Linked DNA regions of Struthio camelus. The protein of the gene in region 1 interacts with the protein of each later gene in a pairwise test. Links are inferred from orthologs where the notes say so. Each region holds a gene or a part of one and is shown on either strand. Other genes may lie near its edges.

Region 1 (15,368 bases):
TTCAAGTAACGTTCACTTTTTCACTTGAAGTTTACTGCATTCAGAAGCTGAGATCACATTAAGAAAGTCAGGCACTTCACGCGTGAGCGGTCTCGCTAAGCCAATGGAATAACTCACGCATTCAAACAGTGCCTATAAAACTTGATCCAAGAAGCCTTTACCGTATGCTGTGTCTTTCTGAAAGTGCACTCACTGGCATTAGTTGGACTTAACAGCCACCCAAATTCTTTCCTGAAGATATGTGCGGGCAGAATTATCCCACCAGGCATAGCTCTCTAGAAAAGGATTGACAGCTGTGCTATACTCCTTTCCCTCTCTGCATGCTGGTGTCCTAAGCCTTCGGGGAACTGCATTGTTCTTTGTAGGCTCCTCTCTCCTATCCGTGCCGAGCATCGCTTCGTGCAGCTGGATCTTTTCATCTCAGCAGGCCTGGATTCCATGCTTGATTTCTTCTGGTGGAGTATTGACTTGTGCTCTTGTCACCCCTGCCAACTTCAGTACTTTTAAGAAGGGTGTGTGTGCCTTGTTTGGAGGTTTATGGGCCAGCCAGCTGCTCTTCCCGCCTCTGGTAGGATTCCTATAGCAATAACACCATTTGCGTATCTTGGTGGAACTATGCCAATTTAAACTGGTGGGGGAATTGACATCTTAACTTTCAGTTTTCCTTGCCTTGTCATGTAAGCTTATCTGGAAGCTTAATCGCGCATCTGTGTCAGATTCTCCTCTCCACGCACACACATGCATTTAATTCATCAGTATAGCTCTTTCACAATTTGATCAAAATATAATATAAGCTATATTTTTGTGATATACAAATGGCCTCAGTGCTTGCAATAAAGAGGGAGCTGGGGAGTGATTCACCTCTAAAGGAAATACGCTCTTTTTGTCATGCCACTTCTTAAGCCAACAGATAAGCAGCTCTGAGGCCGCTGTTGAAGCTTGGAATATGTTTTGGTGCTGCCTTTTCAGGTATCGCACTGCTTAAATAGAAGATACAGTCAATTTTTAAACTTGTTGCCCTTTTTCAGAGAAAGGGACCTTAACAACTGAACCTGAGATGCGCCAGACCCATGGCGCAACTTGCTGAAAGGGGCACAGGGTACAACTGGACCTGCAGGAGCCCAAACATGAGGCAGTCACTCCAGCCTGGTGCAAGCACCAGCTCAGTGAGAGCACATGGCTGGGTGTTGACTTCATCAACTACCTGGCATCCTTCATCCATTCTGTGAGATACTGAAACTAAAATATTCTTTTTGTCAGTGCAACTTACTGAAGTGACAAGCTAACTTGGAATCAGGTATCTTATTTGTATCACTGTTCTTCTCTTATGCCTAATTTTTCCCCTCTCTTTTACTTCGTCTAGGTATTTGTTTATTTGTGTGTGAAAATGGGCATGGGATACAGTTATGTGGATGTGATAGCATTTTGGAAAATGACATCCACAGCTTTTACAGTGTGGGCCTTGTGAAATTTTGGGACAGCTGCAAGACTGCCAAGTGCCCTGCTTTCAACATGCATTCATTTGCAAATATTTATTTTGAAATTTTCTACACTCCTCAGCACTGGGAGCCTGACACTTGTTAGACCTGTGGAGCTTTAAAAGGAAAGCTTTAGTTTAAAAAAATAGAAAGGTTTAACAAAATCACTGGCCACAGCTGGAGGAATTGATTTCTTAGAAGGCCCCACAAACAGGGAAAATTACATAGCAAAGCTATTAACAGAAAGGCAGCAAGATCGTTCAGAGCAAAAACATACATTTACTTATTGTGTGGTTGTTTGGATTTAGGGGGGACTGAACGACTTAAAATGACAGAAATATCATAGCTTACAACAGGTGCTATATGTCTGGCTTGTGATGCAACCCTTGCAAAATATGCTATGTATTCCCTGAAAGCTATTTTGCAGACAGGGAAACAGGGCTAAGGCAACCTGAAGTTTTTTTGTTGATCTGTGCCTACCAATTTCCTGTGTGACTGGCAAAGTAAATATCCCAGTAACCAGAGAAGTTTTTAGCTTGTCAGAGATTTTGAATAGAATGGCAATACTTTTGAAATTTTTTGTATGCCCATCCATATTGGGGGGAGGGGAGGAGCAGGGCACCTTTTCAGAGATAATTAAAGTAAGCAAATGAGCAAAATAATGCTAACCCTGCAACCTTTGAGCCGCTAAACTAACTTACGCGCTCAGAATGGGGTATTTTAAAAGATATTTCCTATATACGTCTATGGCAAACCTGACAGTGGAATGCCATTGAACAGCACAAATACTTCCAAAAGAATCCCCTGAATGAAATGCTTTTTAATCATTCAGATATGATAAAACAGTTACCGAAGAACTTAAACAAAAAGAGAAAGCACACCCCAGGAAACATCTTGGCAAGGTGAATGTGTTAAGTGCACGTGTTTTCTGTTTCTTTAAAAGATAAAATAAAAGTATTTGCAAAAACTGCTGGCAAACCACACTGTATTTAAATGAACTGTTTAGACCTAGAGCTACTGAAAAAGAAAGATTAGAGTGAACCAGTGAGCTGAGGTGAAGAAGATACAGTGGAAAATATGAGCAACTTTGTGCAAAAGTTCAGAGACGGCAAGAAACCTGTTCAGCTCTGTTGAGAGTAAAAATGCATCAGTGAAAGAGAGTAAAGCAGCTGTAAAACTGCAGAACCTGCTGAGTTACAGAGAAACAATCCTTTCTGAAAAGGCAGAAGCAATTTTAAATGCCAGAAGCTGTGGAAGTTGCTTCTCATGGCTACATCTACCTTCACTCCAGAGCACCGGCTCAAGCTCAAACTTGCCTCAGGTTTGGACACAAGACTGCTCAGGGCTCTGGGTGAGCTCCATCACCAGAACTGGGGAGAGAGGGAAGGGAGTTCGAGCCTGCTCAGCCCTTTAGTACAGCGCCAGCAGTATTATAGCCTGCAGTACAGATGAGCCTTTCCCAGATCCTCCATCCCATATCTTGTAATGCGGAGTGGCAACATCTCCTCCCCGAAAAGGCCCTAATGGCATGTCCCACAAAGCCCAGCTGGATGCGCAGAGAGCTGAGTCCAAGGCATTCATTGCACAAGAATGTGCTAGCCTGCTCCTTGTCCTCTACTGTGCAGGTCAGCAACAGAATGGGTACTGTTTACACCAGCCCCTGGGGCAGACTTCTGGTGAAAAAGATGGTGGTGTTTTAACTGGTCTGTTTTCTTTCTTTTTTTCTCCCCCTCTTTTTCTTCTAAGGACTTTGCCACACTGCCATAGAGAGTATTGCTGGGCAGGGAGCGTAGCCAGCCTGCAAAGTGCTAACGATGAGACTTGCTCTCGGCCTCACCGTACTTCTCTGCAGGAAGGTCTGGACTTTGCACATCTCCTATGTGCGGGTGTGGGCATGAGCAGGACACTGCGGGGTGACCAGGGCTCGTGGTACCAAAGGAGACCTCAAAGAGATTCTGCTAGCAGGTCTCCCCCACAGTGATCACTTGCTCTGTGGCCGCTCTTTTGTCCTGGAACCAGCCATGTGAAGCCTCATGTGCTGGGAGAAAAGAAAACTGATGTCAGGCTGCAGTGGTAGTTTAGGTAGAACAGGCATTGCTTCCTCCACCTGGAGGAGTTGTTGCTGGGAAAGCTCTCCTGTGATTAAATGTAGATAACGCTGCAGCAGTCAAGGCTCTTTCAAGGACAGAGAAGGACAAACATTCGCCAGAATGGTTTTTCGCATAGTATCTTAAACATAAGTACTCTCATCTGAGACATTTTGATATGATAATGAAGAATGAGGTGCAAATAAGTAGATTTGTCATCAGTGCTCAACAAGTTCACTTAATGTCTGGGATTTCAATGTCTGGTTAATAATATTTTGAAAAAGTTTCAAGTACTGTCAGTAAGTTGTGCCCTATACTGGACTTTCAGGTCTGTCCAGCTTTGGGGTCATGCACCTTTTTTCTGGCCACAGGAGTCCACTCTATTGCAGGGGCTGCCCCAGTGACTTCATGCACAGCTTTGGTATATGGGAAAAGTAAAAAGTAAGTTTGGGCCAAAAGTCTTCTACAGAACATTTTTTGATTACAAAACAGCAGTTTGTCCAAACCAGAAGGTTTGAAGAACTGAACCAATTTCTGGGACAACACAAAAACAACCCCTCTTTTGGATAGCCTTAGCGTTGGGGGCAGGACACTGCCGTGCAAGATGTCCCTCCTGGGTTGGCTGTATGCACAGAGCAGCAGGCTGCAGGGAGTGGCGTGCAGCCGTATCCCTGCTGTTGTCTTTGCCTCCGTTTGGGAAAGCATCTGGCTGTTGCTGACAAGGGAGAGATGTGAGTATCTGGGGTGACAGTTATTGCTGGAAAAAAGTGGAAAATGACGTCCCCCAGTAGCAGCGGTTGCTGCCCTATCTCTCCTGCCCCGCCTGCGGGAGCGGCAAACCCAGCTCTTTAAGGCTTTTCACTCTCTGCTTTCTCGTGGCTTCCCATTCTAGAGCCCCGTGCTGTCTGCAGCAAGAGCAGCTGGACTCCTCAGTTTTGGACTAGCAAAACTAAATTCTGTCTGTCTGTCAGAGGAAGAGCAGTCACAGGCTGGGCTTTTTGAGTTCCCTGCTGGGGACCTGGAGCCTGGCGGCTCTCAGGGCCTCCGGCCCACAGTGGGACAGGGACAGCCATGGAAATGCTCTGAGCACTAGCTCACACCAACTAAGCCCGGATCCTCAGGCTGGATCATACCGAGTGTGGAGCCCCAGAGGATGAGCGATGAGATAGAAATTCTTTTAAGAAAATTGTTCTGTTAATTCAACACAGACTATTTAAGGAGTTTCCCTTCTCTGAGAAAATTTCAACTTTTATACAGAAATAGTGCTTTGTGTGTGTGGTTTTTTTTCTTTCTTTTTCAGAACTTCAGAAGTTCCCTCAAAAATTCCCTGAAGCCTTAACAACAAAGATTCTCAGTTATGTGTCAGGGTGTAATTTTCAATATAAAAAATCTTCACATTTGATGCTCAATATAGTTAAATTTACCACAGTGCTTCACATTCAGTATATACCAAGAATCCTAGCAAAGTCACATACTATTCAACTAGAGATTTATCATGGGGTGCTTAACAATGAATTATTTAAAAGTACCTACTGTATCATGGTTTCTTGAGAGCCTAATGTGTGTATGTGTATATATTTATACATAAAATACCTGTGAGCCATTATATGCCATTTTCTGAGCACAGAGTTTCAAGTGTAAATCTAGAGGGTGTTTAAAAATAGGTGTCCTCCTGAAAATGCAGTGGAGTTTTAGAAGAAAAAAAGTCCTTCATAATCTTCCCCTTTCCAAAACACACACTCCTTTGAAGGGAAACTCTATCCCGTAGGATTAATTTTCGATGCAATTTGTGAAGTATCTAAATTCTGCTGTGCAGGATATTTTCAATGTGCCTGTTGATGTGGCATTCTAGGTCTTGGTGAAAATTTTTTAAGTTTCCCTCATTTGTAGGTTTGAGAAGATTACTATACGCCTCCTACTAGCAATCATATGTAGTACTTTTCCTGAAGTACTTTACTGAGTGGGTACGCACTTCCTTTTTACTGATGGAAAAACAGAAAAAGATGAAGCGGTCTCCAAGCTTACACAGCAAGGCAATAAACAGATTCTTACGCTATCTTACACCTGGCTTTCCCAGGGACACCTTCAAGACTGAATTTTTCTGCCCCTACGGAGATGAGCTTGCTGGAGGGATACCAAGCTGGGGCAGAGACCGCTCTTTGGACCCTCCCTGTCACCTGCACGTTAGAGCTGAGCAAGCTAAGGTGTGTGACCAGCTCATAGCTGCCTCTTAGACTGCTTCTTAAGATTCACAGTGGGAATAACCTCATGGGCCGGACTTTCAGTTCTGTTTTTTCTCTGACCCAAACTAACCTCCAGATCGCAGTTACTATGTTCAAGGGTTGATCAGCGCGCACTGATTTGATGTGCTCCATGTGTCTCTGGGGACTTGCCTCCTCTTTGACACCTCATGAGTCATTCTTGTCAGACAACTGTGCTTGTTTGCAGATGAAGGATGCCTATTATACTCCTGTGCGTACCCACGCAGTAAGAGGACTGGATGTTCATGCTCCCGGATGGGATGTAGTTTGACTTCTCGTAGTAGAAGGACAGTTTGCTCCCAGCTCTGGGAGGATTGCTGTTGCGCTTCGTGTCAACTAGCACATCAGAGCTGCTGCTTTGTGCTTATCCAGGTCCTTGCAAAAAAGAGGGGGCACCTAAAACTTCCCTCTGCACCAGCAGCAGCTGTGATGGATCCTTTTTCTCAGCCATCGTATGCAGAAGGGCATCCTCTGAAGCTTCTTTACGAAGGGGGTGACAACAGCCTGAAGCTTTCAGACAACAAGTAGAATAGGAAGGAGCAAGACTTAAGGAAAGATCAGTGGGACAGAGTCTAAAGGAGAGCTGAATAAAACAAATAGAGATGTCACTTGATCTCAGGTTTGTGACCAGTCAGATTTGGTACCTTCATTTAAGCTTACGGCACCTGCAGGGTTATATTTATATTAATGTATTCAGGTTAATGGCAATTCTGTTGCTTAACAAGTCAAAGCTCTAGACCTCAAAGCCAGGGGTAGATGTGGAAGAAAAAAGCAAAGTTCCTACTAAGAAGTTCACCTGGTTCTTGTCTAACAAGAAGGGTACCGTAATACGGTGCTCTTTGAGGGTCTGATTTTCCAATAAACCTCTAATTAATAAACTTTTGACGAAGCCTGCCTCTTACGCTGACTGCCAGGTAGCGTGCCGAACAGCCAGGTGCTTCGACGACGGGCTGCGTGCTTACTTGTGCCGTCCACGTCGTGAGCAGCTCTGGGGCGGGAGGGAGAGAAGCTTACCCACATCAGAGTTTGCCGCTATCGCGGCACACCGGTTTCCAGGAGAATTTAAGTGAGCTCAAGGGGAAAAACAGGCCAGAGGCTGTGATCTCGGCCGAAAGCTCTGTCAGAGGCGGTGTCGCGTCTGGGACGAGCTCTGCAGGAGTTACTCTGCCGTGGTGTCTGACCCGTAAAAGAGGGACAAAAGCGCTCGGCTACCTCATGAAAACCTGCAACGGTTTAAATGAGGGCAGGCGCTCCGGAAAATTCAAAAATCTCTGGCGAGAGGGGTCACGCTCCCTCAAGGCAGGCCTCGGTCGGGGGCTGGTCGGGCTGGCAAGGGCAGAGGTAGCGGGGCCAAGGCGCCCGGGGCAGCGGGCCGCAGGGGCGGCAGGAGCAGCGCGGCCGGGCCGGGCCGGGCCAGGCGCTGGCCCCGGGCGGGCCGACCCCGCAGCGCCGCGCACAGAGCAGCTGATGCAGGAAACCAATGGCGGCGGCACAGCCCCCAACCGGCAAAAACCCGCGGCCCGGGCCAAAAAAGGGGCGCCGCGGCGGAGAGCACCAGGCGCCTCCTCCTCGTATTTCCTCCCCCGCCCACTTCCAGCCGTGCAGGGGAGGGGAGGGGAGGGGGGGGATTTGCCGTCGGCTTTTGTCGCCCGGTATGAAAAGTTTGGCTGCGGCAGGATGCGCGGGGTGGCGGTGAGTTTTCCGCCGGCGGCGCCGGGGTGCCGCGGGGCCGGGGAGGGGGCGGAGGGCGCCCGCCGCCGCCGCCGCCGAGCCGCGGGGAAGCCGCCGGGGTCAACGGCGGCGGCGGCGGGAGGCACCTCCGGGATCTCCGCCTCAGCGGCTGTGTGCCTACGTGTGCGTGCCCGTGTGCCGGTGCCGCGGCCGGGCCGCTGCAGGGGGGAGCGCGACTCACGCACACACACACACACACACACACTCAGGCAGCGGGGGAAGGGGAACAGGCGCGGGGTAACTTCTTTTTTATTCGGGGTCGAGCCCCGGCTCCGTGTCCCCCCCCCGCCCCGCCCCCGCGGCTGGCGGGAGCCCCGCGGCCGTGAGGAGAGCCGCCAAGCCGGCCGGGCTCCGCGCACGCTGCGGGCGCGTTAGGCCGCGGCGGTTATTTCGGCGGACGGGAGGGGGGGGGCGGGGTCTCGCGGCGACCCCAACGGCGCGGCGCGGGGCCGCTTCCCCCCCCCCCCGCCCGCCCCCAACCCGGCTCCGGAGCCGCGCCGCGGGAGGGAGGCAGGGAGGGAGCGCCGCGTGTGCGTGTGCGCGACGGGGAATAACGTTGGCGCGGCGTTTGTTGTGCTCCGAGTTTCGCTTCTGTGCCTCCCCCGCCGGGCGCTGAGGAAACCCCCTCGGTGACCCCTCCCTCCCGGCTGCCTGACCCCTCCCCCCCCACCCCCCCGCCCCCGCCCGCGCCGGCAGGGGGCGGGGCCGGGAGACCCGGTGACGTCACTGCTCCGGCCCCGCTTCCTGCAATAGAAAGTGAGAGAAGGTAAAACACCCCCCGCCTTCCCCTCCCCTCCCCCCCCCGCGGCCGGCCGGCCCCGCGCCGCCGCCTCGCGCCCCTCCCCCACCCCCCCCGCGGGTGACCGGGGCGCGGGGGGGAGGGGCGCGGGGAGGAGAGCGGAGCGGAGCGTCTCTCCCCGAGGGGAGCCCCGCGGGCGCGCCGAGCCGGCCCGTGCCTCCCCGCCCGCCCCCGCCCAGGGCCGCAGGCAGCCCTCCCGGCCGTCCCCCTCCCGCCTGTCAGCGGGGCTCCCTCCCCCGCCGCCCTCGTTGTTCCCCCCCTTCCCCCTGCCCCGCCGCCTCGCCGCGGGGGGAGGGGGCAGATCCCGCGGGGCGGGGGTGGTGGGGGGGGGGAGCGGCGATGGTCGGGGCCGCGCTGGACCCGGTGTCGGGGGACCCGCTGGGGGGGGGAGTTCAGGCGGCGGGGCCCGACTCCCGGGGGGAGCCCGGGGGAGCCCCGCGGCGGCGGCGGCGGCGGCGGCGGGGGAGGGGTCTGCGCAGAGGGGGCGGACGGACGGACAGCGCTGCCCGTGGGTGACGGGGGGCTGTGTGGAGAGGGGCAGTGCTTGGGGGGGGGGGCGGCGCCTGGGCCGGGCCGGGCCGGGGGGATGTTGCGCGCAGGAGGGGTGTGAGCGTGTGTGCGAGGCGGCGGCGGCGGCAGCGCAGGGTCATGTTTGTGTTTGAGGTTGTCAAGTGAAGGAGGCTCCCTGCCGCCGCCGCCGCCGCCGCGCAGGGGTCGCCGTGTTTCCCGGCTGCCGCCGCTGCTCCTCGCACCCGCGCCGCCATCAGCCGCCGCCCGCCGGCCCCTCCGCCAGGTTTGCAGCGGGGTCCGCGGCGGGGGGGGGCGCGTCGCCGCGGCCTGGCGCCCCGCGGGGAGGGAGGTGTTGGGGGGGGGGGGCAGGCCGGGCGCCTCCTCGCTTCCTCCTCCTCCCTCCCCTTCCTCCTCCTCCTCGGCGGCTGTCTGCGCCCCCTCCGCGGGGAGCTGCGGCAGACACAACACAGCGTGTCCTGCGGGCAGCGGGGAGGCGGCGGGCGAGGCAGGCCCGGCCCGGCCGCTCTGCCACGCGTGTGCGTGCGCGCCGTCTCCTGCCGGGGTGCCCGAAGCCCCCCGCCGCCCCAGGTAGGCAGCGCCGCGCTCGGGCTTGTTTGCTTCCCCGTGCTGGGATGGCGGGGGCCGGCGGCCCGGCCCGGCCCGGCTCGGCTCGGCCCGGCTCCTCCCGCCCCGCCGCGGCCGGTGGGTGCCGGGCTGCAGCCGCTCTGCTCCCCCCGCTCCCCCGCGCGTGCAGCGCTTTGTTCGGCGCAGCGTTGCAGAGGGGTTTTCCCAGGCTCCTCCCTCTTTATTCATTCATGCTTTTTTTTTTTTCCCCTCCTCCCCTCCCTCCCCCCCCCCCCCCCGCTCTCTTCCCTTTCCTCCTCCCTTTGCAACAGTGCTCGCACATACCGACGTTTCACGGGTCCCTCGGGCTCTGCGCTTGCAGCCGTCCCTCCGCCTGGTCGGTCTGTTCCGTAGTCTACGGTTTTTTTTGGCGGGGGGGAGGTGGGATGGGGGTGGAATGTGACCGCCGTGATTGCGGAGGGCTCGTTCTCTCTTTCTCTCCTTTTTTTTTTTTTTTTTGATTATTGAAATCAAGGAGGCAGCGACTTTACGCGGGTCTCCTACAGTATTTCTGCTGTGGCTTTCGTAGGGCCATCCCTCTGCAAAAGCATACTGCTGGTGACCAGGTGGAATAGGTAGTTTTGAAGCGTAAATAAGATGTCATTTGTGCTGCGAGGGAGCATCAGGAGGTGCTTACGACTTACAGATATCTGATGCGTTTCAAACCCGTCTGCTTGAAATAGCTTACCTAAGTGACCGCGTTTATTATTTGTGAGGATGTCAGCACAAGACCCAGGATTCCCAGCAAAACAAAACAGGGCTTCGGAGGTGCTTGTTGCTTCAAGTAATTTGGCCGCTGCTGCACACTTAGAGTTTGTGTCTAAGACTAGAAAATTGGAACTGTTAGCGTAAGATTTTTTTCGTTTTTAAATCTTTCTGGTATCTTTGCAGATGAAGTGATATGTGTGAACAACTTGACAGCCCTCTGTGTGGTGTTCTGGCTTTTTTCTTGTTTTCCCCTTAACGCGATAATATCCTAGTAAAGAACCATTAGTCAGAAAAATATTTGCCAGCCTTCCTTTGTGACAGCGCTACTCAGTTTCTTCTCTTGAGTCTTTTATGCAGCAATAGACAAAAGAAACGTTAAAAATTAATGACTATCTTCCTCAACAGTCTGTAGACTGGAGGGGAGGTTGTAAGCAACAGTCTATTTTGAGTGGTTTTGAATTCCGCTTTTTCAAAAACATTGTTGTCTGTATTAGAAATGATCAGAACTCTGAGTTAATACTTAAATGATAGAAGGCTCTACGTGCTTCCTATTTCGAGTAGTTATCCTTTGTCAATGTGCCCATGTTAAGGGCCACTGTATGGTTTATATACATTTAAAAAAACTTATCCTGGTGTTGATTCAAAGAAAGCTCTCAGTCGGGGTTGGTATTACTATGAATAGTAAGCGAGTAGTGTTGTTTGGCCAAAGTAGTGGAATCGCACTAGTCATTCTTCTTTTTAAGTTCTTAAGTGCAAGTGGCTCACTATAGTTCAGAGGGAGATTTCAGTACAGGAAGATTTCAGAAGCTAAACAACGTACTCCTTAAATGGGAAGTAAATCATAAGCATATTTAAAAAATAATACACTTTGTTAATCTTGAGGGGGGGAAAAGTGGAGGTTTGGGGATGCAAATTTAGGTTGGTGCCCCTTCAGTAGAAAATCTGTCCATTAGGCTGTTAAAAGAATTCCATCTTCCATGAAGTTCATGCATACTTAGACTTTGCTGGCTGCACCGTTGTGTAAATGCAGGGACTGCTGCATGCCGATACAGGAGCTCGCTTTGCAACGACTTGCGCATGGGTCTAGAGCTGGTGTGAGTCTGTGTTGTAAATTGATATTTCAGTAGAGTCCCCTGGGGAGCTCTTCTGGACTTGTTACAATTGCACACTTCAAGTAAGGATACTGTGGAGATGGCTGATGTTGCAAATGGGAGAGATGATTGCTGATGCAGCATGTGTTTGCCCTTCCCCTCCCTCCCCTATCCCCCTCTATACAAATGAAGATCTGCTGTTTTAAAGCCTAATGTGACTGTTTTGTTTTGTGAGGTTTGGTTTTTTTTTTTTTTTTTTTTTTTACACAGGACACAAGTTGTTAGAAAATGTTTTCTGGCTAGAAAACAGCTGACAAATGTGGAAAAATGTCTTAGACTTCTCGTGCCTCCTGAGTAACCCCAAAAGGAGTTTGACCCTCATTTAATTTTCTTATAATGTTGGAACATTTCACTCTGTGCAGGATAGGTATAGAAGTTTTTATTGCTTATCACCAGTTCCTGTAGCCATTTTAGGATGAAAGAGAGCAGACAGATATCTTTGATTTTCCTTATTATGCATACATCTCATAACTTTTATCTCTTTCTCTCTCTTTCTTTTTTTATTTTTATTTTTTTAGCACATGGATTAACTGACTCCTTTGACAAGTTTATGGAACTGCCAGCTCTCTGCTTGCTCTACTTTTCATTTCTGAGGAGAAAGGGGTATATGAAATTAGAGGAAAATGCCTCGGACAAAGCAGATACATCCCAGAAACCTGAGAGGTATGTAGCTCTCAGCTAAGAAGGAAAAGGTCTTGGGAAGCTCAGCTGCAGTTTCAGTTGTGAAATTAAAGGAATATGTACTGAAGAAGTTTGTTGTGGTCCAAAACTATTTTACAAACAAGCTTTAGGAGTAACCTGCGAGACTACTGTAATTTTGAGGGAAATAAGGAGAAACTGTTCTTATTCCTGTAGTCTGTGTGCTTGACAGCACTCCTGATATCCAGCTTGTGGCAACAACCAACCTCAACTTTGAAAATGCAAAGGAAGACATAGTGTCCTTACCAAATAATAGGCAATTGAAATGTACAGAGAGGTGGGAAATGTGTGTAATGTGGAAGCAGCATGAGATTTGGCAGCTGATAGTTGTTTTTCTTAATAGTAATCAGTTTGGCTTGCTTTTGAGAGGATCAGACTCTTCCCCCACGCATGCCTCCCTTGTATTTGTCATCTTCATCACCCGTGCTTCCTCAGCAGTGTCTGGGTTTGACTTTAGTCTCCTCACTGCCCTGCCTTTGCACAACTCAGTAGCAATTTGTTGGCTACAGAAAGGGTCAAAGACGTAAATGACCTGGTCCACCAACTGGCAAACTTATATGTGCGGGCATTTCCTTGAACAAAATCCCAGTGCACTTACCAGAGCTCAGGATTGGCAGATGCATGTGAGGAGTCTGATCATATGATTATTTGTAACTCTCTTGGTAGTAGCAGCCCTGGAGGAATTAAATGAGGGAAAAATACAGATTAGTTCAAGAGCAGAAATAAATACCAAGGGAGAACGTGCCTTCCCCCACCCCCCGCCAGTGTGTAGTTGTCATCAGTTTTTTTAACATGGATTTCACAGTTGCAGTGTGTATGCATCTCTTTAGACAATAAAAGCTATTGTAAAGCTGCAAATATTGGCATAAAATTTTGGGGGCAGGAACAGTATTTAATTCTATTTTTAACTTTTAAAAAAAATAAATGGGGACATGGAAGAAAAAAGAGAAGTCAGCCAGCACCCAACAAACACAAGCATTCGTATACTTTTTTGCGTTTCAGTGAAAGTTAAAAGGCCCTTAAGCGTACAGTATACAGCTGTATCAAAGAATTTGCGTATGTGTACTGTGTGCCAGTATTACTAAGAATCTCTATTACTGAAGACATTTGTGCAGCGTCTTTATTCAGAAAGTGCTGGGCAGTGTTACTCAATGTGGTAGTTAAGCCTCTGTCACACATCAGGAAAGGGGAAAAGCAGTAATGGGCACCTTGGAGTGCCTTAAATTTAGGAGCTGTCGTTTCCCCTTCTTATGGAACTTGAAGTGGTGAATTAGATCCTAATTCTTAATACTGCTGCTTACCAAGTTACTGACGTAGCTGATGTTATGTTTTTCAATCAAAGATGAAAATGATCTACTTTTAGTGCCCTATCTGATAACTCTTGCTAAGGTCAAAGTAATACGAGAGTAGATAAGTCTCTTGTAAAGCTTTTTGTAATTTTATATTCACTTAAGTAAATGCATTTAAAATAAATAATCTAATTAAACACTTAATTGTGCAAGAAATAAATTGCATTTTTTTTGCCTTGTGTAGTTTTCCCAGTCATTCAGCTATTATCACCCTCCCCAGTAGCAGAAATCATCAGTTTCTATTCTTCTACAACTAATGGAGTTTTCCAGTAAATTAAGATGGATTAAATATTGAGAAGGTAAATAGAGGTAGAAGCTGAAGCCAGAATTTGAAATGACGTTGGAACCTCTTTCTTACTGTTAAAAATGATGTTAAAATTACACAGGTGCTGCAAACTTAAACATGTCGTGAGCATGTATAGCTACTAGCATGGGTTATTAGAGGTGAAGTGATCTGAAAAATCAGTTTACCTCTCATTAGTTATGCCCTATTTCCATTTTTAGTTGAGATGATGAGGGAAACTGGATTTCAGTTCCGTTAGTCATTTTATCAGTCTCTGAGAATATTGCAGAAAATATTTGCTTAACCCCCCCCAATTTTAATTGAAATTTGAAAAGGCTGAAAAGCTTCCTTAGGTCTGGTTTCTGACAACTTATTTTCATGTATTGAAAGTTTGGCCAGTCTTAACTGACGGTCTTAGTCCTTTGAACTTTTAAAATGTGTTGCATCTGTGGTGTAGGTTATGGTAATTAGTGAAGATAATTAGATTTGCAAAAACAGTAAATGTCTGTGATCTAAGGCAAAACTCAGCCAATTGTTAAATTATATAACTTTCAGAAGATAAAGAAGTAGGAGCAGGTAAACCTTATTTTTAGGATAAAAGGTATGTTTAAGTTGTCTAAACTTAACTGTTACCTTTCGTACCATGTACAAAGAACACTCCATGGCCTTACCTGGCTTCTCTCTGCCTTCTTTCAACTCCTCTGCTCTCTGGTTGCCCCATAGCAATCAAGTCTCCAGTAGATTTAACTGGACTTGTCCAGAGCCCATCAATGTTTAACTTTTTAGAGCAGTCACTGTTGAACAACCCGTGACACTGTCTATTCTGCTGTGCATCAGATGAGTTACTTGAGTTGCACTTGCAGTACAAGTCAGCCTAGAATCAGTAATTGAGTCCAAGAATCTAAAATGTATATACATTTTCTAAAAAAAAAAAAAAAAAAAAAGGAAAATACATATTTCAGTTAATTCTGGATTTCCTGAAGCATAGGAAGATATTTTAAAAGTTTTCATATTGCATGTGTTTACAGTAAGCTACCAATTTTTTTAATCGTCTGGGGAAAACAAAGGGGCATTCTTTAATATATAGACCTAAATATAAGATGTTTGGCAAAAGACTGTAAGACTCTTCTTTTTGTGATGTGGCTTTTTTTTTTTTTTCTTAAATAATTTTGTATGCGTTTGAGAGCTGCAGCCTTTGTCGGGTTAGCAGTAACCCTGAAGTATTCTTCACTGAAGATCAAATTTCTTAATTCTTTCATGCTGAAGTCCCCTTCCCTCTCCCCCTTCTCCGTTTTCACTGTCTGTTTGTAGATGAGTCAATACAGTGCTATACTAACCGACTTTACAGAAGGAAAAGAACTGTTCAAGAGGACAGGTTGTAGGGAGAGTTGTTTTGCAAATAAAAACAAGAAAATAAAATTAGTTGGTCATCTGTTTTCATGACCATATGCTATTGACGTGGTTTTAGTGCCTGACTGGTGCTGAATGACATGTTATATCTGAAGGGTATCGATAAGGCATCTACTGCACTGTGTTTGCTTCATTATTTTGTTTTGTCATGTTAGTCGTCTTTGTTTCTCATTGCAAATACGTCCTTACATGAAAAAATGTTACCAGCTGATGTGACTGCTTTGGTCTGGAGTGTCCTGCAGAGTGTCAGACTTGGTCTTTGCACTAGTTCAACAAGT
Region 2 (15,517 bases), on another chromosome or scaffold:
CATAAAACTGTCATTTAAAGTAGCATGACTGCAGGCCAGAGGCATGCATTTTGCAGACTTGGTGGAAAAAGCCATCAGAAGAGGCAGAATGGAAGCAATGAGAAAGTTAAAAGAGTATTCCTACCAGATGCGAAGCATTAATTTATGCAAGCTACCAAGTACTTTTAATGTTGGTTATAAATCAAACCAGTAGGTACTTGCAGATCATAATGCACAGCTAAGAAAAAAAAAAACTGCAAGTGAAGACTGCACTGGCTCTACTTTTCCTGTTCTTTTCTAGAAGAAACACACCTAAGCATCCTCCCCTCCCTTCAGTCAAATTAGCTTTAAGCATTCCTTGTATATGAATTTTTCTAGCATTCTGACTGATTACAGGAAAAGAGTAAGAAATAAAAACAATTCTCAGGTACACACTGCCAAGCAATCCACGACTGGAGACTAGGCTCACTGAGCGCACTGACAAGCTGTAACAGAAAGGGCACAAGGTCTCTCATGTCCTCCATGGATATACGACTGGCACTCTAGGAAGCTGCAGCATAGCGAAAGGCATAAGAAATGGAAGAGGGCTCCAGCAAGCCCCCAAAGATGCTTTGACAAATACTTATGATTTTCTTGATCACACGGACAAAGAACGGACAACACACAGCACCAGAGCATGCCTTTGCCAAAGCAGTGACACGGTAATGGTATCAAAATCCCACTGGGACTTGAAATATGACCATGCAGATTTCACTAAGAGAAGGAATTAGAGCTATACACCACTGAACAGATTATTAATGAGGGTTAGAACAAAAAATACTAAAAAATTACAAGACCAAAAGATGAACGGGATTAAAGAATTTAGAGCTAAGAACAATTAAAACTTATTTAGTAACTGATCTACTCATTTTTGACTACACAATTTCTGTCTTGAAATCAGAATGTCTATGAAGCGTTTGAAAAATTTAAGTCAACTTCAGGTGACAACTACAAAGCAATCAAATACCAAACTGTCAAGAACAAAGAATTGTTAAGTGCTTCTCTATGTTACAGAAATGCATTTTATTGCACAAGATGACTGACTTACTAGCAGAGAGAGGATAAGCACGTTGTCTGGGAATAACAGACTCCAAGTTTAACTTCAGCTGGCTAAAAGCAGTTGAGAACTTCCCTCTAAGTAGCAGGTCTTGTTTTTCAGGATTAGTTAACATGTTCCCCCAGTACAGCCATATGTGTTTATTCTTTACACATTAATGTAAACGACAAGGCAAGTTTTAAAAGTAATTATCTCTTTCCTCATTTTGCTTACATCAGCTGTGTTCCTCTGCCTTTTCTTTACTAACTGCAAGCTCTAGAATTTAGGGATGGTCCCTGAATACCTGGAAAGAAACTTGCAGTTAATATTTACAAAATCTGGTAGGGTCAAACACAGACTTGATGAGGTGGAGGATTTTTATTTTCCTCTTCTCATTTCCAAGGCCTTACATGCTTTTGAGTAACCTACTGTCAAGGCCAGACTGTTCCGAAACATGGTGCCTTTACAAAATAAATAAATAAAATTGGGGGAAAAAAAAAAACCACACACACACACCTTTTCTCAGCTTTTCCTTTTACTCTCTGGATGTCATGAAAGGTGTTAACTCAGTTATCTTCCCTCTATTGTTCATGAATTCTTCCCCCAAACAAACAAATAAGGCTTTCTTTCCTTACCCAACTCATCTTATTAAACTATGCACAAGTGAAAACATTATCATCAGGAAAACAAAAATTAGAATATAAATATTAAAAACATTTAGTGTAAATGGTTATTTTCTCCCCATTATATAGTCTTTTAGTACTTCAGCATGTGTTGTTTCAAATTTTCAGTTTTTACTCAAGAGGTCAGCATGCCAAAGAGATTTAACTATAGAATCTTGCTAAAAATTTCTCTTAGAGCACCATAATACTCAAATACAATTGATAACCAAATACAATTGATAACCAAAATATATATTTATATATATATAAAATACCTCTATTAGATATTACAGTTATGACCTGGATGAAGGGACAGAGTGCCTCCTCAGCAAGTTTGCTGATGATACTAAACTGGCTGAGGAGTGGCTGACACACCAGGAGGCTGTGCTGCCATTCAGAGGGACCTGGACAGGCTGGAGAGTTGGGCAGAGAGGAAACTCATGAAGTTCAGCAAAGGCAAGTGCAGGGTCCTGCACCTGGAGAGGAATAACCCCAGGCACCAGGACAGGTTGGGAACTCAAAGCAGCTCTGCAGAGAAGGACCTGGGAGCCCTGGTGGACAACAAGTTAAGCATGAGCCAGCAGTGTGCCCTTGCAGCCAAGAAGGCCAATGGGATCCTGGGCTGCATGAGGCAGAGTGTTGCCAGCAGGTGGAGGGAGGTGATCCTGCCCCTCTCCTCAGCCCTGGGGAGGCCTCACCTGGAGTACTGTGTCCAGTTCTGGGCTCCCCAGTGCAAGAGAGACATGGCACTGCTGGAGAGAGTCCAGCAGAGGGCTGCAAAGATGAGGAGGGGACTGGAGCATCTCTCACGTGAGCAAAAGGCTGAGAGAGCTGGGCCTGTTCAGCCTGGAGAGAAGGCTGAGGGTATATGAGATGTATTGTATACAATATGAGATGTATACAAGTGTCTGAAGGGAGGGTGTCAAGAGGATGGGGCCAGGCTCTTCTCTGTGGTGCCCAGCGACAGGACAAGAGGCAACGGGCACAAACGGAAACACAGGAAGTTCTGTCTGAACACGAGGAAGAACTTCTTTCCTGTGAGGGGGACAGAGCACTGGAACAGGTTGCCCAGAGAGGTTGTGGGGTCTCCTTCCCTGGAGATATTCAAAACCCACCTGGACATGATCCTGGGCAACGTGCTCTAGAGGACCCTGCTTGAGCAGAAGGGTTGGACTGGATGATCTCCAGAGGTCCCTTCCAACCTCAACCATTCTGTGATTCTGTGATATTTGCAAGCAGCATCCGAAATTACCAAAATTCCACATGTAAACAACTCTCAAGTGCTTCAGCTAAATTATATTCATCTACCAGGAACCGTATGTAAAGTTAAAAGGACTTACAATCCTTAAACATTCAATTAAGTTGAAATCCTACCCTCTGGAATGTATTTAGAAATGTCAGCATATCTCTAAAAATATTGAAATCACACTTTCAATATATTAATGAAATGAACAGCCTTGTTAAGCAACTTTTTTTTTTTTTCAATGTAGCAGTCACAAGCATTTTTAAATTCCATTATTATTTACTCTTGAATTCTGGAAGCAATAAGGCATAAGACCTGCTGAGGCTCCTGGAATTATTCATAAAACAGCTTTACCATTTGAGGAAATGTTTCTCAATTGCAATCCAAACGAGATATATATGCAGTTAATAGAGCCTCCTGAAAGTAGTATTTCTGAACTCGGCTCATTCTAAAAAGCAACCCAAGACTGCAGAAGCATGTATTTTCAAACAAATCTAAAATAGATGAATTAAGTTGCTGTACCCCAACTCATGCATAAGCAATCGTACTCCTCAAGCAAAAACAGACTTTCGGAAGTTGCATAATTAAAGCCTGACCCAGCTCCCACTGAAATCAGTAACAGAACTCCCCCGCTTGCTTCAGTAGAACTGAATCAAGCCTCCTGTGCAGAAACGGAAAGACATGCCTAGACTGTACGAGGGGAGTAACTGCAACAGTTAATTAAAATTGACTGATGGCCTCACCTCCACACTGCTATCAGTATGCTTCATTCTACGATCAGACCCTTCAAAAAAATTATATATTGACAGTAAGGACAGAAGTGCAAATACATACTACAAATAGGGATTAAGTTGTGAAGAAAAATACTAGAGCTACTGGTACATTGTTTAGTGCTATCAATATTTATACAGGAAATGGTAAACACGCAACCAAGGAGCATGGTCACCATCAAGAAGGGCAAAGACAACAGAAAGAGTTAACAGGAAAAGCAACCAATCATACAACATTAAAAGTGGAAAAATAATCGCTTTTGACAAATAGCTATTTCATGGAACAGAGAAACTTGTAACATGGAAAATAAGTAACATTGAGAAACCAGAAATAAACGGGGAGGAGGGTGTTAAAATACAGTATGATAATAAAAGGCAAAGTAACACGCGTTACACAAAGATAGCGTGGGGGAAAAAACGGAAGAAAAAAACCCACCTAAAAACAAAATCTGAGAAACAGTGTCAGAGAAAGCGACGGTACTATTTCCAGTTACTTTTAAAATCAAGAAACGTAGCACAAGAGTATTCCAGAGGCACAAGCCATCATGCTGTTCAGAAACTGAGGGGAGAAGGAGAGCGTCTCTGGCCCTTGGAAAAGTCATCGCAAAAGTTATCCTCTAACGCCTACCAAAAGAGCAAATAAGTATGTCCTCTTTTTTAGAGGCTAACAAATCAAGGGATGGGAGAAGAGTTAACAAGTCCTACACAGCTGATCAGTGTGAGAGACAACATAGATTTCCTGGTTCCTGTTCCTATACTTCAGTCATGTCTGACCTGCATTACCTCTGTCTTTCTCATCTGCTTCCAGCATCCCAACTATCTTTATCTGTAAGGTAATCTGGTTATTTTATTTCCTGTTCAGTCTCTTGCAGACTTAAGATTTCCAAAAAAGAAATAAAATCTTTTGTTTGCTACTACATTATGGAAAAGAAAAATATTTCTTTACAGAGTTAATGCCAGATGAAAGATGAGACATAGCTGCTTTTTTTTTTTTTTTAAAACATGCATTAACACAAACTCTGTGATATCTTCAGGTAACTTCTCCCATGTCCTAGGAAGTTCTAACCTTAGAGTTCACCTCGAGCATCTCTGCCAAACTGCAATTAAGGCTAATAATACTATTTGTTATATTAGCAGAGATTCATTTGCGCGCACGCTACAGTAACTCTGACTTTTGAGTAATAGCAACCTGGGCTAGATTTAAATAAGACTCATCACATATTTACTTTATTAACCTCAAAACCCTCATTCAATAAAGTAATACTACTACCTCATCCAATAAAGTAATACTACTACCAAGGTAGATTAGACCCCTTTCCCCAGAACACGCCAAAATATCACATAGAACAAATTAATATCACTTTCAATCAGAAGAGCTTTTTGCCCTGTTATTAAGAACACAAGCAGCCCATCTCCAAAACACATTCTGAAGTTACATACATTGCCAACTCAATAATAAGAACATAAGTATTCAAACAAAAAGAGGCACAAGAAGCTTTTCTGAATGAGCGCTGCTTGAAGCAGCTAAGGTTTTTATTAGCCTTTGCACTTTGAAAGCCAGCTTTCCAAACCTGAACTGCATTAACCAGCGCAGTCTCTGTCTGCATGCCTCAACAGAGACCTTCGATTCCTGTGTTGCCGCTTACAACCTTTCTACACCATCGCGTGTCAAGCTTACTGATATCATTAGTTTACACTGATGCTAATTCAAAGCTCTGTGCACAAAGAAACTATCAAGAATCAGAACATCTTATCTTCCTTAATCTCTGGCCAGGACACAGCAAGAAAAGGTACTGAAGGACCTGTCCACTTTTACTGTATCAGCTTTAGAAAAAAGTCAGATTAACAGGAGTAGTAGAAGAGAATGTTCTTCTTTCTATGAAAAGGAGGAGGAAATCTAAAAGTTATATTATGCACAAAGAAAGAAAAGCTGGATCCCCTCGCAAAAGAATCATCCCGTCCTTTCTTTCTCCTTCTTAACACACAGAAATTTAAATACCTTAATTTAAACACCTCCTTCCTTCTCCTGCCATGGAAGGAAGGAGAGAAACCTACACTGCATGCTGCCTCAGAAAAACGTAATCTCTTGCCTTTGCTGAGCTCAGGTATCCAGTAAAGTTTTCAAATCCCATGCCAAATACTACAGTGCGCATGAGCGGGCAAAAGAAAGAATTTGGCAGCAGAGTGGGACGTGCAAATAAACAAAAGAAAAGACAACCAGTGTAGTTCAGACAAAGCGACAAGAAAGGAAGTAGGCACGTGAAAAAACAAGAGATAGACATTATTGCAGAGAAGCAAAACAGAATAAAGAAAACTAACAACACTACCTGTGAGGTTTTAATGTAAGATTCTAAGGCACTGTACAGGAAAAAAAGTCTTTTGTTCTGTTTAAGCTAATAGGTGTCAAACACACTTTCAGGCCTTGCACGTGAAATGCCACCTTTCCAAAGGGTTTCACCAGGATTCCATGCCGTTCTGTCAATGATTCAGGCATCAGAAACGAAAATCCATCACTAAGCTTTTTTTAAAAAATTATCATTTACAATGCAACAAAATACAAAATCATTCTGTCTGCAGACTTTCAAAAGAATGCCTACACACATCAAAAAGCGTCAGAAAAATATAGCTAGTCTTATGATTCGAGAGAGGAGAGAAGGGGAAACGGAGAACTCCAACCCTCAAGAAGGGACGCGAAGCTGTCTTTAGTAACAGATTTTTGAGCAGTATTCTACGACCAGGGCAAACCTATACTTGTACTTGCAATTTACTGTAAATGCCTCTGGCCAAAAACAAGACGTTTTTGCCTCTATTAAAACTTATGCAACTGTAAGAGTACGTGCAAACACCGTCAGAATGACACAGAGAAACTAACTGCAACGCTCCGGGCCGCTGTGCAGCACAAGTACTGAAAAAGCCAGAGGAAGGCCGGAGGCAAACGTCCGAGCTCCTTCCCAGGCCCCCCGGGCCTCCAACGCGAAGCCACGCCGTGTTCCCACCGAGGGAACTTCCTCGGCGTGTCTGCGCGCTCCGCTGCGGACAAGTTGCGCAAGGAACCCCGAGTCCCAGCGCCGGAGGGGCGCGGCGGGGGCAGCAGAGGGGTCGGCAACGGCTTCCGAGCAGCAGAGCGAGCGAGCGCGCGAGCGCGGCGCCAGCGCTGTCCGCCGCCTCGCGGGGCACCGGGCGGCCCGCAGGGGCCGGACGGGGGGCGCGGGCAGCCGGCCGCGCCGGGGCCGGGCCGGGCCTCGCCGGCGGGGGCCGCGGCAGGGCGGAGAGGCCGCCGAGGCCGGTGCCGGTGCCGAGCCGCGGCCCGCAGAGCGGGCAAAGCCGGCGGCGGCGCCGGGGCAGGGGCCGCTGCAGGCCGCGGGCACCGGCGGCGCGGCGCGGCCCGGCGCGGGGACCGGAGCAGAGCAGAGCGGGCGGGCCCGGGCGCGGCAGCGGGCGGGGGTGGGGGGCGGCGGGCGGCGCGGGCCCCACTCACCGGGCCGGTCCCTGGAGCGGAGACGGCGGCGGCGGCAGGAGCCAGGCATTCAAAATGGCGGCGGCGCGGCCGCAGCACCGATACCGCAGGCGGAGGGATCCGCGGCCCGGCGCTCTGCCCTCGCTCTCCCGGCCGCCGTCGGTGGCGGGGAGGGCCGCGGCGGCCTCAGCGGCGGCAGCGGCCTCAGCGGCGGCGGCGGCGCAGGACCGGCGGCGGCGCGGGACGGGCTCCCGGAACTACTTTGCTCGGCGGAAGCATCCGCGAGACTGTGCGTTCGAGTGAGGCGCGTCAGCGCGCGGCCGTCACTGATGACGTCACGCGCCGGGGTAGTCCCCCGCGGCGAGCGCGGCCCCGTGGTGCGGCCGGGCGGGTCGCGCTGCCCCGAACGGAGGTTCCGGCCGCGCACGCGGGAGGGCGGAGCACGACGCCCCCGCGGCCGCCGGCAGCGCGCACGGCCCCGCCCCGCCCCTCGCGGCAGGCTGCGGGCTGTGCCCCGCCCCTTCCGCGTGTCCCCGCCCCCTCGCGGCGGGCTCTGGCCTGTGCCCCGCCCCTTCCGCGTGTCCCCGCCCCCTCGCGGCGGGCTCTGGCATGGGCCCCGCCCCTTCCCCGGGCCCCGCCCCCTCGCGGCGGGCTCTGGCACGGGCCCCGCCCCCTCGCCGTGACTCCGCCGCCCCGCCGGGGCCGCCAGCCGCGTCCGCTCGGCGCTGGGCCCGCCCCGTCCCGTCCCGTCCCGGGGGAGGCGAGCACAGCTCGGCCCGGCCCGGCCCGGCGCAGAGGGCCGCCCGCGGCTGCCGAGATCGTTCCCGAGCTGCCGGTTCCCCGCGGCGCTGCCTCCAGCGGGCGCTGGTTTCCTTGTGGCGGCAGCCCCGGCAGAGGCGCGGGCCGCGGCTCCCGCTGCAGCCCGGGCAGCGGGGCGGGCTGGGCAGTAAGCACCGCGCCCGCGGAGCGGCCACGCTTTGTCCCGGTTCGCGCTCCGGGAAGAGGAAGGGTCTGTGCGCACCCACGAACAGGGGCCCGGGAGGGGCCCTCGCCGGCCCTAGCCTCCAGGTCGCCGCTGTGCGGACGGAGGCGCCGAACCCCGGAGCCAGAGGAGCTTCGCAGACGAGATACCGCGGCAGAAGGAGCCGAACGAGCGGCCCCGCGCCCTGCTCCCCCCCCGCGCTCCCCGCAGAGAGCGGCGCGCGCTAAGGGAGGACGGGCGGGGGCCGCGGGCCGGGCCGGGCCGGCAGCGCAGCCTGCGGCAACGAGCGGCCAAGGGCGGCGGCGGCGGCGGCGGGCCCGGGAGCGGCCCCGGCGGAGGAGGGCGGTGGCGAGCCCGGCAGCGAGGCGACACGCGGCCGCTCCCCGCCCCGCCGGCACCAGCGCTCCGGGGCGGCCTCAGCCGCCGGCGCCGTGACGTCACGCCGGCCGCGAGCGCCCTCACTTCCGGCGCGCGGCGCGGCGCGTCATCGCGGCGCGCGGCGGGCGGGGAGGGGTCGGGCCCGGGCCCGGGCCGGAGGCGGCGGCGGCGGCGGGCGGCGCCGGGGCCGATGGGGGCCGCGGCGGAGGCGCCGGGCGATGGCGGGTGAGTCGCGGGCCGGGCCGGGCCCCGGGCGCGGCTGCGGCATCCCGGCTCCGCGGGCGGCGGCGGGGTGGGGCCCCGGCCCCGGGGGTGGCGGCGCCGCCGGGCCGGGCCGGGCCGGGAGTCACGGGCCCTCCTGCCGCCGGGGCCGCGGCTCACCGCCCCTCTGCTCTGGGCGCCCTGCCGGGAGCCGGGGCCGGGGCTCCCTCGGTGCCCGGCCCGGCGGGGGACCGGGGCTTACGGCTCCCTCTGTTCCCGGTGCAGGTGAGGCGGCAGCTGGCGGCGGGGATCCGGGAGCTGGCGTGTGGCGGCGCCTGGGGGTGCCCCCATGAACGAGCGTCGCGGCCGGGCCTGCCGGGACACCGTGTGGCGCCATGAGAGCGGGCCACGAGCGGAGCCAGGAGTGCCTGCCGCCCAAGAAGCGGGAACTGCCTGCTGCCAGCGCGGGTGCGGAGGCAGGGCGGGCCGGGGGCGCCCAGGCCTCGGGCGAGGGCCCCGAGTGGGGCCGGGCGGCGGGGCCGGGCCCTGCGGCCCTGCGCTATGGCCCTGGCGACGGCGCAGAGGCCGTGGCGGGGCTGACGGTGGACCAGTATGGGATGCTCTACAAAGTGGCGGTGCCACCCGCCACCTTCTCCCCCACGGGCCTGCACCCCGTGGTGAACGTGAGCCCCTTGCCCCCGGCCTTTAACGTGACCTCACCGCTAATCCAGCACCCAGGGGTGCCCTACCCTCCCATCCACTACGCGCAGATCCCCCCGACGTCTCTGCAGTTCATCGGCTCCCATTACACGGTGCCCTATGCTGTCCCTCCTGGCTTCCTGCCTAGTCCTCTCCTGTCTCCTTCCACCAACCTCACCACCTCTCACGTCCCTCACTTTGTGCCATATGCCTCTCTCTTCACGGAAGAAGCCGCTCCTTCCCCCCAGACTACCTCTCCTACCCACACCTTCAACAAATCTGCTTCTGCCATTTCTCCTTCTGGCCAGATGCAGCACCATGCTGGGACCCAGCCGTTAGATATTGCACCAGGTAGAATTCCTGTTTATTATCAGATGTCCCGCCTCCCACCAGGGTATTCGGCATATGAGACACCTACAGCAAGTGGAAGCCCAGATCCTCCTCAGCAAGACAGTCAGCTGAGTTCAGAGGCAGTTGCCGCCAATGGTGGACAAAGACATCTGGAGCATAACGTGGTGAGGAGGACCAGTGAGGCTGTGGACTCTGCCGGCAGTAAAGCTGAAGACTGTCTGCCAGGGACTGCAGTGGGATGTGTGGTCGATGGACAGTTCCTTTCAGGTTACCAGACTTTGAGAACAGAGGTCTCTGTGCCAGCTCACAGAAGCACCCCAGACACTGATCTGGAGGTTCAGAGGGTGGTGGGGGTGTTGGCATCTCAGGATTACCATGTTCTGGCAGCCCAGAGGAAAGATGACCTGAGCCCTATAAACCTTTGCCATAACATCCCTGATCAGCAGGGGGAGTCAAGGGATGTTTTGAGGAGCACGGTGGAAAGGGCTGCTGCTGAGAAAAGCCAGTCCAGGAGTCCATATGTAATGTCCCCTGAAGAGACGGTTAGACAAAGACAATTAACCAAAGGAATGGTGATAGCCAACGGCAAGCCAGTCCTGGTGCCCGTTGTGTCTGAGCCCATCAGGTCTTCCTCTTCAGATACCCTGGTGAGGCAGAGCCCAGATGCGCAGGCTCGAGGAAGCATGCTTGAAAAGGAATTGACCCAACTGCAGCCTCCCAGCTCCTCGCACTTGCCCTCTCACTTCATGAAAGGAGCCATCATCCAGCTGGCTACAGGAGAGCTGAAGCGGGTAGAGGACCTGCAGACTCAAGACTTCGTTCGCAGTGCCGAGGTGAGCGGGGGCCTGAAGATCGACTCCAGCACCGTGGTGGATATTCAGGACAGCCAGTGGCCTGGGTTTGTCACGTTGCATTTTGTAGTTGGGGAGCAACAAAGTAAAGTGAGCATTGATGTGCCCCCAGAGCATCCCTTCTTTGTGTATGGCCAGGGTTGGTCCTCCTGTAGCCCAGGGCGGACCGCTCAGCTCTTTGCTCTGCCCTGTCACAGGCTGCAGGTGGGCGACGTCTGCATATCAATCAGTTTACAGAGCATGAACGGCAACTCTGCTTCTCAGGCTAACTACCCTCTCACAGGTCAGTTGATATCTACTCGAGAGAGATCTGAAAGAACAGCGCAGGGGTCCAGAGAACCACCTGACAGAGCTGCTGAAAGGAAGAGCCACGCAGAAAGGGACAGTGCAGCCCAGGGCTCTCATGCAGAAACCTCTCAGCCTGAGACTGGCAGTCAGCACAGCTGGACAGCCCCGGGCTTCCAAAGATACAGCACGCAGGCAGAGGAGCCTCGGCCGTCTCTGCTCCGTCCCTCTTTCATTCCCCAGGAGGTCAAGCTGTCTATTGAAGGGCGTTCTAATGCAGGGAAGTGATCCCGTTGAGGCTGTGAGCTAGGGCGTGCCCTGTGCGTGAGCCTCACCTTCATCAGGTGGAGAAATTGCACAGACTTTGTGACAGGTTCACCAGCAAGGCTGCTCTCTGCCCTGCAGAACTGGATTTACTCCAGTTTGGTCGCTGACCAGATCCTCTTGGGGAATCGAGAGGGCTCCAGTGCCTCAGGGAGCAGCAACAGGCTAGTTGGGGTAGAGAACGGGGGATGTGCTTGAGAGCTTGTGACAAGAGCATTCCAGAGGTTGGGGCTTTGCACCTTCCTGAATACCTGGTTCCCTGCAGGGCAGGGTCTGAGCATTCAGGATAGGTGGGGAGATGAGAAGGGCAGACACAGCTTAAGGTAGCAGATAAAATTGCTGAAGATTTTATTCCTCCTTTCTCATGATGGGGAAAGATGGGTCCCCACTGGAGTTTAGGGGGCACTACTCCCAGTATCCCCTTTCTTCACACATGCACTTTAAAAGGACCGTTCACCGATGGAGCTCTTGAGGGCAGGCTGTAGAAGCTTCTCTGGTGGTTCTGTTTAATGTCTCTTCCACTGAATCCAACTGTTCTTTCTTCTTGCAAAGAATCTGCAGAGATCTGCATGAATGACAGAAATTGGAGAGGAAGGACCAAAAGGATGGGTTTGGGTGCAGGTGAATAGGAAACTGTGGAAAAGACTTGAGCACTTGGGATGGGACATGAGTTGGGATGAGAGATGTCAGTTTCCTGCTAAGAAATACATTCAATTATTTGACACCAAATCAAATCTTTCTTCCCATGTTCATACCCCTTTAAAAAAAAAACAAAAAAAACTTCTCTTAGGCCTAAAGCTAAACCACACTCTTCTACTGTGAGGAGACTGAGACTATTTTGTAATTAAATCAGGAGAAAACTTTCCAGATGGCTAATTCTTCACTGCAGGCAGTTTCCTGAATAAACTCTAGAAAACAGACAAGTGTTTGTGCATGTGCAGGCAAGGTACAAAGCTTCTCTTAATTACAGTTCCGTGATTGATATAGGGACTCTAAAAATATCACAGCATCACAGGGCATTTTTAGGTGTTTTTCTGTTAGTTGTTCTGGTGCTTCGCTTTGGAGTTCCTCTATAGAACAACATGGTAAAATCGAGAGTAGTCTCTTTCACGGTGAGATCGAATCAAATGCATATTAATACCTCGTCATGGTAATAACACTCCATTCAAGCAAAGGTTCCTGTAGTTACACTAATTTGCCCTCTCTGACAGCGTGTTATGACACCAACTCTAAATGCTTAGCTAGAATTAAAAAAAAAAAAGTCACTGCTATGTTGAGGAGAAGGGTCTTCGCTCTGACTTAACTTGGGTTTAAGTATTCCTTGTATTTAAGGTGCCCGGCTCTGTACTAGGACCATGCTTGCGAGAGGGTGTTGGGTTTCTTTTTAGCGTGCAGGCCCCCACTAGATTCCTGTTGCTGCTCCTGATGTTTAGCATCCCATTTGCTGTCTCCTTTTTCTCATCTTTCTGAGCTTTTCTGTCAGGCGTGCCTAGCTGTTAGGGCATTGCTTCTCTCCTTGCGTGGGCGCCCTGTGTGTCAGCACCTCCCGTCTGTGTCACTGTCCTTCTGCTGAGCTCGTAGTGGTTTTGTCTCTCGCGACTGTTCTGTCTACTGTGCAGAAACGTGCCCTGGAACTGACTGTGTGGCAAAGGGGTGCTCTGCTAATTAGAGAGTCTCCAGAATGTTCCTTCCCTCCAGGGCATCAGGCCTGTTGTCCTAGCATGCTGCTAGCTGCTTATGTTGCCTTTGAAACGCCTGCGCTAGAAGAACAGTTTCCTTTCAGGTCTTAGTTGAGATGTGCTCTGCTCTTGCCTTCAGTGTTTGTGCCTCACAGGGTTTTTTCCAGAGTGAGGATGCTGCCTGTATCCTCTGTAGCTTCCCCTAAATGACGCGCTGCTTCCAGTCAGTCTCATCAACTGCATGTGGGAATGTAAAGTCACGGTGACGTTGTCATGTGAAGATTCTGCCTCCTTGGATGCAGCAGCGGTGGGAACAGATATTGTTTTCATGGCACTATTTGTCAGTAAAACATACTGTCTGGGTCCAGGTGCCTGGCCGCATCGCCTTCTTCCTTATGTGTCTCTCCTTTGCTACTCATTGGACTCTCCTACGCAAAGACCTCAATCAGTGTCGGTTGGTACATAATGCTCAGGCTATCCGGGATGTCCGTGGCCACAAGCAGAAAGCAAAGGAGCCCACGTTCTGTTGCCTGTTCTTTGCATGGTGCATGCAGAGGAATTCAAGGCTGTGGCAGGCAGCTGAGAAAGGGATCTTACCTGTGTATGGCGTGTGAATGTGGAAGGGCTGGTTGCATGCGTAGAGGGGACTTTTGAGCATCTGAATGGTGCAGAGCCTCTCGTGTGCCTCTCTGAGCACAGAAATCTCTGTCTGCTAGAGAGAGGATTTGGAGAGCCTGCCGTATCTCGTGTGTTGCTGTACCTACTAGTCATAGATCTCAGCTGCACTAATCAGTGGTCTGAAAGGGCAGACATGACACATGAGACAAGTTGCTGTGAGGCTAAAGTAACTTTGTACCCTAGGCAGCTGAAGGGCTGTACAGGTGCTCTCCCTTGTTTTCACCTGGCCGCTGGCCTCGGCTGTGGCCTCTCTGTGCGTCGGTTGGGGAGCGCGGCTCTGAGCTCTGTAGAAAAGGCCGGGGTGAGTTTGACCTTGGTGCTTCTGCCCAGTCTCCTTGTCAGTCCCCTTGTGCATGGTTCAGCTGCCGGCTCCTCCGTGGCAGCAACAGTTAGGGCACATCTCATGGCGGGGGTATTGCAATGAAGAATCTGGGCACCTGGCTGCTTGCCCCAGGGGCCAGAGGTGAGAAGGGAGCACTGGAGGTCCTCCGGCCCAGCTTAACCGTACTCATAATCACTGGAACCCGTCTTTGCTGGGTTGGGCCGTGTTGCTTCAGCTTCTGTGGTGAGGGTTGTTGCATCGAGTGTTCAGGCTCTCCTGAGAGAGGGAGTGTGTGAGACAGCCTTTCTGCTTATAGCAGAGCCTATGAGTGAGCCCAAGGAGGAGGCTTTTATTTCACTTAAGTTTACAGGAAAAGGAGGAGATGAAACTAAGAAGACATTGTGGAATGAGTGGGTTATCCAGGCTTTTCTGCTGGCAGAGATGTGACAGGCTACTTGGAGGAATGTACCGTTTCCCTGCTGCTATTGTGAAAGGAGGGAGAGCTGTGGTCTGTCCTACCTGGAGGAGGGAACCTCCTGGCCTTGGTCTTCTCTCCAGCTCGCAGGGAGGCTGCGAGAAGAGTCTGTAGGATGCAATAATGAGTATCTGTAACCATCTGTTCCATCTCGTGAAACATTCCTTGGGTCAGCTGCCCAGCAGAGGCCAGGCCTGTTTCTAGGCTATGTGTACATTGTTCCTCCAGGAACGTGAGACTTGCTCCGAGTGACGAGCACTCATCACTACCAGACTATGCAGAGGAAGCTCTGTCTGGAAAGGAGGAAAGCTGCAGAGGTCCCTCTGCCTCCCCTTCCCAGCAGGTGCGCAAGTATAATGCACTTTTCACATTCAGTGTCCCTGTCCCCGTCCCCCCGTCCCCCCCCCCCCGACTTGAAGTCACTTTCCCCAGTAGAGAACTAATAATCCTTGTTACTCAGAAAGTGTTTTAAATGAATGATTAGCCCAGATGCTAGTTCCTGCCCACAGCAGTACATGTGCCTTTCCCTAGCATCGCTCACAACTGCTCTTTGTCTTTCAGTCTGTCCTAGGGCCTGAAACTTTGCGGAAGCTGCTAAGATGGCTACGAATGCACATTCTTGCACAGAGTTTGGCCCAGGGTGTGTTCCATGTGTAGCTTAACATGCTGATGGTCAAGGCCCCTTCACGGCCTTCATATCTGTCCACGGGGGACAGAACTTGCCCCTAACGTCCTTCTAGGCTGCTGCCGCACCGCCCTGCAAACGCACCCAGGCACACGCGAGTTGCTTTCCACGTTCATGGCACCTTAGAGCCAGGGGAGGGTCTGCCCACACAAAGCAGGGAAACAGACGTGTCGTGTTGGGGGAACTGGCTGGGCTGCCCTGAGGCAAGGAGGTCTTTGTAGATAAGTGCTGATCCCTCAACTATAATCCCAGTTATGTAATGGCTGTATTAACATGTAACCAACTGCATTGTATCTAAAGCCTTAGAACTAGTCAGGTGCTCCCCTCCGACCTTGTTCCTGCCCCTTTCTTCCTACCTGATCTTTAACAAAGCATTAATAATTCTAAGGATAATCTCTATTTTGTTGTGCTTTTTTTGTAA

Evidence for each region.
Region 2: the proteins of HIVEP1 (region 1) and ATXN1L interact in a two-hybrid assay, tested with the Homo sapiens proteins (2 studies listed by BioGRID). The link is inferred for Struthio camelus from reciprocal best matches to the Homo sapiens genes HIVEP1 and ATXN1L.

The regions. Positions count from the first base shown.
Region 1 is NC_090943.1:100,773,303-100,788,670, reverse strand, and holds the start of HIVEP1 (zinc finger protein 40), read left to right. Parts: upstream 1-7,349; 5' UTR 7,350-7,518; intron 7,519-8,303; exon of another isoform or gene 8,304-8,323; intron 8,324-8,898; exon of another isoform or gene 8,899-9,149; intron 9,150-9,225; exon of another isoform or gene 9,226-9,454; intron 9,455-9,762; exon of another isoform or gene 9,763-9,831; intron 9,832-11,867; 5' UTR 11,868-11,972; coding exon 11,973-12,012; intron 12,013-15,368.
Region 2 is NC_090951.1:439,769-455,285, forward strand, and holds ATXN1L (ataxin-1-like), read left to right. Parts: upstream 1-8,691; 5' UTR 8,692-8,771; intron 8,772-9,032; 5' UTR 9,033-9,142; coding exon 9,143-11,221; 3' UTR 11,222-13,295; downstream 13,296-15,517. UniProt on the Homo sapiens protein: Chromatin-binding factor that repress Notch signaling in the absence of Notch intracellular domain by acting as a CBF1 corepressor. Binds to the HEY promoter and might assist, along with NCOR2, RBPJ-mediated repression.